Linked DNA regions of Danio rerio. The protein of the gene in region 1 interacts with the protein of each later gene in a biochemical or structural test. Links are inferred from orthologs where the notes say so. Each region holds a gene or a part of one and is shown on either strand. Other genes may lie near its edges.

The links. The genes of interacting proteins can lie anywhere in the genome.
Region 2: of the proteins of ptpn11b (region 1) and cdc73, one has a biochemical effect on the other in vitro, tested with the Homo sapiens proteins (2 studies listed by BioGRID and IntAct). The link is inferred for Danio rerio from reciprocal best matches to the Homo sapiens genes PTPN11 and CDC73.

What each region holds. Positions count from the first base shown.
Region 1 is NC_133198.1:26,921,107-26,924,606, reverse strand, and holds part of ptpn11b (tyrosine-protein phosphatase non-receptor type 11b), read right to left. Parts: coding exon 3,448-3,500; intron 3,333-3,447; coding exon 3,253-3,332; intron 3,115-3,252; coding exon 2,959-3,114; intron 1,553-2,958; coding exon 1,421-1,552; intron 736-1,420; coding exon 581-735; intron 1-580. UniProt on the Homo sapiens protein: Acts downstream of various receptor and cytoplasmic protein tyrosine kinases to participate in the signal transduction from the cell surface to the nucleus. Positively regulates MAPK signal transduction pathway. Dephosphorylates GAB1, ARHGAP35 and EGFR.
Region 2 is NC_133177.1:12,374,017-12,378,273, reverse strand, and holds the start of cdc73 (parafibromin), read right to left. Parts: upstream 2,801-4,257; 5' UTR 2,790-2,800; coding exon 2,659-2,789; intron 1-2,658.

The DNA.
Region 1 (3,500 bases):
GTTTTATTGCAAAAACCTGGCAACCCTGATACCCACCTTCCTAGTATGTGCTATTACTAATGTGGCTATTGCGCCGGCTAGACCGACCACAAAGGTGAACATATAGTGCAGCAGACAGCTGAAAATAAATACCAATGACGGAAGTGACAGAGTGAATAAGAATCTAAAGATTTTTTTTTTGTATTTTTTGGTTTTCAGTCATTGATAGTGTTTTAAAATCAAATGTTTGAAGCATAATTTAGATTTAATTACATCAGAAAAAACATCTATTCTAGTGTTTATTTGAGTATGACCTTTAAATAAACTAATGGGTTTTTAAAATAGCTACATTTTTAAGGCAAATGAATGAATGGAGTTTTCAGAAAATGAATAAATGAATGAATGGACTTTTCATTAGAATTCTCTTTTTGTGTTTGGCAAAAGAAACTAATAGCATAAATAGCATATAGCATTTGAAGGACATCACAGGGAATAAGTATTGGATTTTTTTATGGGGGAAGGGGGGAGAACTGTGCCTTTAAGACCACATTTAGCAAAATAATTAAATAAATCTAAGTAGAACGTGTGAGCTGTGTAGTACCTGCAGTGAACCACTATGGGTCCGCTCTCTGGAATGGCGCTCTGGGTTCGGTTCACTTGCTCCAGGAAGCTCAACACTCCTCCAGGTTCATTTGGAACACCGTGATCAGGCCAACTCAGGTACTGATAGTGCCAGATACACCTGGGAGGCTCTCTCTGTAATTACAAAAAGTATTTATGTATGCATGTATGTATGTATGTATGTATGTATGTATGTATGTATGTATGTATGTATGTATGTATATATGTATGTATATATGTATGTATGTATTTATTTATTTATTTATTTATGCCATATCAGCAGTATGTCTATGTCAACATTGGAATTGAATATTAAGTTTATAATTTACAATCATAACTGTTTCTAAACAAACATGCATTATATAAAAACATATAGATATCACACTGATTAAAAGTCATGAGAGTTCTTTCATTTTGACCAATGATAAATAGGGTAAAATAGAAAAAGGAGACATCTTTTTAAAAGTTTCCCTTAAAAAAACGTTCTCTAATATAACTTGAAAATATACAGTACCTTCTATTAAAACATGTTTTATGGTCTAAATATTCGTACACAGGTCACAAATAGGTTTCTCTTCCCCTTTCAATGAATATGAATGAGTAAGTCCTGAGTGAATTACAAAAAAAAAAAAAAAAGAAACATCAAATGATAATTTACAAAATGAGAAAAACTACATCCAACCTAGATTAGTAATGTAAAGTAATACAGGTTTGAAGTAAGTGAGAAGATTCTCTCCAAGCTGCTACTGTAAACAACAAGGTCAAAGGTTATGAACTGCCTCTGGCTGCAGCATGTCATCTGTCATCGCATTGCTCTTACCCTGTCTAGACGTGTGACTTCAAGCTCTCGCCGTATGTAGTCCTGAGCTGTGTGTTCCTCAATGTTCTTCACACACACCTTCCCAAACTCCTTTGTTGAATTCAAGTCTGGCCAGTACCGCACACATTTATTCTATAGGGAGAAGTTCAATGTTTAGTTCCCAAAAAAAAATCTGTGTTGTCTATTTAGCTATACAACATTAGTGGATTCTCAATTTTCTCAAATTATGCATTAGAAATTTTTGGTATATAAGAAGAATCACATTTTTGTTCAAAATAATAATCATGTTTCATCCACGATTCTGAATTGACAAATTAAAGGAAAAGTTAAAAAGTTCCCAAATAGATCCCAAAATTTTAATTTTGCCATTATTTAGTCATCCTCCATTTTTCTGATGAACACAAGAGAATCTATAATAAAAAATGTTGGAAAACACAACAATTGACTTTCATAGTGTTTTTTGTTCCTACTATAGATGTCAATGGTTGCTTTTTTGCAAAATTCTTCATAATATCTTGCTTTGTGTTTAACAGAAAAAAAGAAATTCATTAAAGTTCATAATCAATTAAGTACGAGTAAATAAGGAGGAAACTTAATTTTTTTGGTGGACTTCAACAAAATGACATGTAATATACTAGAGATTTGGACACAATGTTAATTTAATTAATTCCCATCGGTTTGAAAGGTTGATTTAATCACTGGCTTATATAGACCTCACTTGTTTCATTACTGGATGAATCAGCCCTTTTGAATGACTCTCTTGAATAAATAAGTCAATGACAAATGCATTTTTAATAGTAACTTATCACCACCTTTTGGCGTAACACTGTAATTGATAAACATTATTTATAAAATAGTGTTACTTTAAAAAATATGAATGTCTATTTTGCTGTGCAATATTCAATAGTGGTTACATCAAAACTTTAATCCCAATACTTCTGCAATAATTTGACTAATAATCATACCATAAGGTTGAAGAGACCAAAGACTGACGCTGTTTCATAATTTTATGCCAACTGGGATTGCACTCGTCAGATGTTTAATAAATAAAACCAAATCATTGTGGCTGGAATATATAATTGTATGGGTAATTGAATCAAGATTGTCATCATTTAGCAGTTTTATGGTCAGTGTATTTAAAACTGATATGAATTCTGAATGAATTTCTCCCCCCAAAAATATAAATTACTTTTATTATCACAAATAATTAAGGAAATATAATTAAGAGCATAAAAAATATTTTTTTTTATAACAAATTGTTTATTTTCTTATATTCTATGTATCCCATGACAAACAATATAACATAATATGACAAAAAATAAAATAAAATAATATAATATAATATAATATAATATAATATAATATAATATAAAATAATATAATATAATATAATATAATATAATATAATATAATATAATATAATATAATATAATATAATATAATATAAATATAAATGTATTAATGAACGATCGAATGAATGAATGAATGAATGAATGAATGAATGAATGAATGTACAATATTTTCATCCTGGACCTTACCCGTCCTCTCTCCATCTCCTTGGTTGTCATGACAATAACATGTGTATTTTCCTGATAAACCATTTTCCAGAAGTCCAGGACTGTGTTCTGAAGGCAGCCCTGAGTAGCGATGAACACTTTACCTTCATCCATATGACGTCCTTCTTCATTCACGCTCTAAATGAAAAAAGAACAAAATCAATAAGGATAAAAAGAACATGCAATCTCTAAACTTATTGATCACAGCTCAACAACCCAGCAAAAGCTTGACATTCAGATTGACGTGTAATCATTACGAGCGAAGCGGGGTCTTACTCGGATATAGTTAGCGTTGATGTAATCGGATCCGGGAACATCAGGATCCGCTTCCTTGATCTGCACTCGAGTGGTGTCAACTGCAACCCAGAAAATGATGATCAAAGCATGAACAAGAGCCCTGGAGATTAACCGTTGCATTATGAAACATGCCTCTCCCATTAAGAAACCAGAAAAATACAGCACGTTACTCACATGGTAGTATATTCTTATATCTGTTCTTGTTTTTATTTTCTGGTCTCTGCCCC
Region 2 (4,257 bases), on another chromosome or scaffold:
TCGATTTAAGATTCTAAGTTTCACGGTATTGTCATTACTGCTCTAATATGTTTTTTTTTAAATGTCTGGGTAAAAAAAAAACCCAAGTCCCCTTTGACACATTTATTTGGAGCAGTAAACAGGTCAGTCTTAATTCTTTAAATGAAGTTAAAATCTTGACTTTTCCAAACCATCGTATACCTTGAAAACGGTTATCGTGAAATGATTAACCCAAACACTGTTTATCACAAATAACACAACAACTTCACAAAAACATGCAAGGAGGAAGAACAGTTGACCCGACTGTGTACATAAATTATCACTACAACAAACAAACACACACAAAACAAATTTATGGTGGCAAGTTACCATGATACAGTACATTAGAACAGTGGTTCTCAACCTTCTTTGCCTGAGACCCCCTTTTCCCTCTGAAAATCATTTAAGCCCCCCCTCCACATTATTATCGCTCATATTAATTTGCAGTAAGTGTGACAAAAAATGTATTCAAACAAATGGTATGTTTACTACAATATCTACATATGTTTATGCACAAATAATAGACTAATGTAAAATATAAAAGCTAAACAACAGTAGGCCATTTGTAACAAAAAAAAAACATAAGTCTTTGCTCCTTGTGATCAAAAAATGCTTTGGGCTTGTCACAGTATTGGGGATGAATGGTCTCATACATTTGTTAGCAAGAACTTTGGCTCAGATAATACACTATGGCTGGGGCAGGGCCTCTTTGCTTCGAGTAAATGGAATAAACCATAGTTCAAGTAACTTATCTTGGTATTTCCTGCATTTCATGTTTCCAGTATTGCTAGCTCTGCGACCCAAAATGTTTGGAGCTTCCTCACCTGGGTCCAGTATTAGCTGCTGAAGGCAAATTAGTGAGACTTTTTTCCAAGGGACAAATTTGTAATTTTGTAAAAAAAAAATTTGTTCGGCAAGGGGATGAAAGGCAACATGATCTCTACTAATCATCCACTGCTATTTTATTTTTTAAAATATGACGTGATGCCCCCAGAGCTTACCAAGGCCCCCTTATTGACCTTATTCTAAAATGCGGAAGTGCGCCTGTTTTCGCGATTGTCTTAGAGCTTCCGTTTCAGTCGCCTATGGGAGAAATGACAAGGAATAATAAACAGCAAAAAAGGTCAAACTACTTGCTCTACAAACAAATGTTTGCATGACTATACAGACCAAGTAGAATAATATAACAAGGAAATATCAGTTTACAACATCAAACAGCGAAACGAGCAGTTTTTAATGTCTAAAAATGAATGGAAGTGAATGAGACCGGAAGTCTCGTGCCAAAAAAATTCAAATGGCAGCGCCCACTCGTCTGCGCAGAATAAGGTCAATAGGGGACCTCCCTGTTGGGAACCGTTGCATTAGAATGTCCAGAATTTGTCCCATAGAGGTGCTCATTTGTATTATTTCGACTACTATGTCATCAAAAATAGTAAAAATAACCCATTGAAAAGGGCTTTAAGAGCAAGCGAAATCCTGGTGTGATTTAAGTAAATCAGTTTTGACAAATGCAAACAATTATTTTTCATGAGTCCAAAACCAGCTGTGCACGAAAACATCTGACATAAAGCAAACTTTCTGCTACTGAATTGTTTTTGAATAGAGAAAACTTTTGACAAGTAACTTTTATTCTAAATATTGGACCTTGTTCATGGAGAAAAAAAAAAACATGACCAATAAAAGTGTAAAGCACTTTATAGAGGTAAAGCTATATTCACACATTTGTTCAATGACAACTTGTGACACTCCCTATATTGTTTACCACAGCACTTTGAATATTCGATCTGAAATAACCTACAAGTATGACTTGAAAACAACATTAACACTGTTTATTTGACTGTGAACAGTGTTGTACTTTGATAGTCATTGGCTGCTAATATGATTTCGCTATTTAGAATTGGCAAACAATACTTTTATGAAATTATATTATTAAGGGGAAAGTCTGAATGTGTAAATATAAAACCAACTTTACCTCTATAAGCACTTTTACAAGAGAGGCTAATAAATTGTTAATTTTTTTTATTATTCAAATGACCAAGAACTGAGGAAAGTTGAATGTGCTGGCCAGTTTGTTATTTGCCTCATAAATTACAATAGGCTAACGTTACAGTTTTTTTCCCTAATGACATATGATGTAATAAGCTTCTATTTAAACAAAATTAACATTTGTTATATTTATTTATAGTAAATATTTTGGAAAAATGTTTGGTACAACAAAGTGTGGTTATGAGGATCATCCGACAAGCTAATTCAGCTAAAATAGTGCTTTAATGTCACTTAAATGCCACCATTTCGTGATTACAAGTAAATGTTCAGGTCAACGTTTTATTAGATTTAAGGATAGATCACTCCAGAAAGCAACGTTGCAACACAAACAAATGAGAAGTTCTTGCGCAGCCTCAGTAAAGACGAACATGTAAACAGCTCAATGTTTTAAGGAGCAGCCAAATTCTTAGTTGCATTATTACCATGTGCATATATCCATCGGCACCTTCTTCCACATGAAACATATTTATCTTTACGTGAGCATTTGTACACAACACGAGTTTCTTCACACGAGTCCATCACTAGCGCATTAGCGGCTAAACCAGCTCGGCTCAAAACAACACGAATAAGTCAACAGAACAAACGCGCACATACCCCCAGATGACATAGTTGGTCTTGACATTTTTAGGCCAGGAGAATTCCCCGAAAATAACTTCATCGCCTTTTGCGACAATCTCCTTTTTCTGGATGTTGTACTGGCGAAGAACACTCAACACGTCCGCCATGATCGCGCCTCCTCATTACGAGTGTTTTATTTAAGACCCCACAACTTCTCAGAACGGGGCTGCTTCGAATAGTGCCTATCTAAAAATGATCAACTCAAATGCTCTTTAATCATAATTGTTGTGCCTCAACTGCGATGAAAACGACATGAAAAGAGTCGACAAAAGGGTTATTCACAGGCGAGCAATAGGTATGTATTTTTAAGCTTTTCAAAAACGTATGCACAGTTCAGGCAAATCTCAGACAGCTAAAGCAAAAATCCTCAGGTACCGATGTCAAGCCATCAACTATATTCATATTTTAGTGTACACAAACTTACTATCCCAACGACATAGCATAATGTTATAAAGTAATTAAGCACATCACCTCAATACAAATACATTATTCTGATTATTCTTTAATAATTATCGTAATTTTAATTTTTTTTTTAAAGAATAACCTCTTCAGTTTTCTACATTTAAATGTAGTGTAATGTGTTATTAAGCGTTTTACACTCCAACATATAAACGGACAAACTTTGGAGTGGATTGCAATCGAGTTACATACAGGGACAAATTTACTAGCATGGCAATATATTTTATTTTGTATTGACAACGTGTAATAACCATCTGAACACAGAATTTCATTATTTGTCACGTTTATTTACCTCATACTTCAAGGTTTCGATTAAATAATATCTAATGTTACACAAACAGAACAAGGGTACATTCAGTATTGTATCTCAAAACTAACAAGCAGTCATTGTCTACGTTTTAGTGTTTGTTAGTTGTGCCTACAATTCATTACATAGATATTATTATCCTAGCAGCGTTAGCAAACTTACAACCTTGATTTGACCTTAAGAGGCACAAAGAACAATAGAAAATGCTAAATAAAAAACATAAAAAACGCTGAACAGAAATGAATCTAGAAGCAAGATCCATTATTAACTTCCTCTATTCAAACATATACCTCTTTTTTTCCTCAATTTTGGAATACATACATATGTAGCATTATTGACTTCGAAAATGTGCCAGAGTAAGCGGTAAAATATTCAGTGAAGTCTCTCTTGAATCATATAAAAGGTTATTTTCACTCATATATCAAGTTACTGGACCACAAAACACTTGAGGTATATCAACATTAAAACTTTACCGACGAGTTTAGTAGTTTAGGCTACATCAATTTCTGAGAGAATCAGATTGCTTGATTTCAATTTCACTGACAAACTGCGAATGCATTTCAGCTCTCAGATTTTGTGGAAGACCTATGGTGCACTTTCAGCTCAATATGTAATAATTCATAACATCGTATTACATAAAGATATTACACGCAATGAACAAGGCCTCTAAAATACAGAACATTGCTTCCAATGAAGGTCAGTGACATGCATGAGCTTTTCAAAAAGAAACATGTAAAAGATGATTACACTCTTTTTGGGAAGAAGCAAATATTTCACAGGACCAGGTTAGAAAATATACAGTATACTGA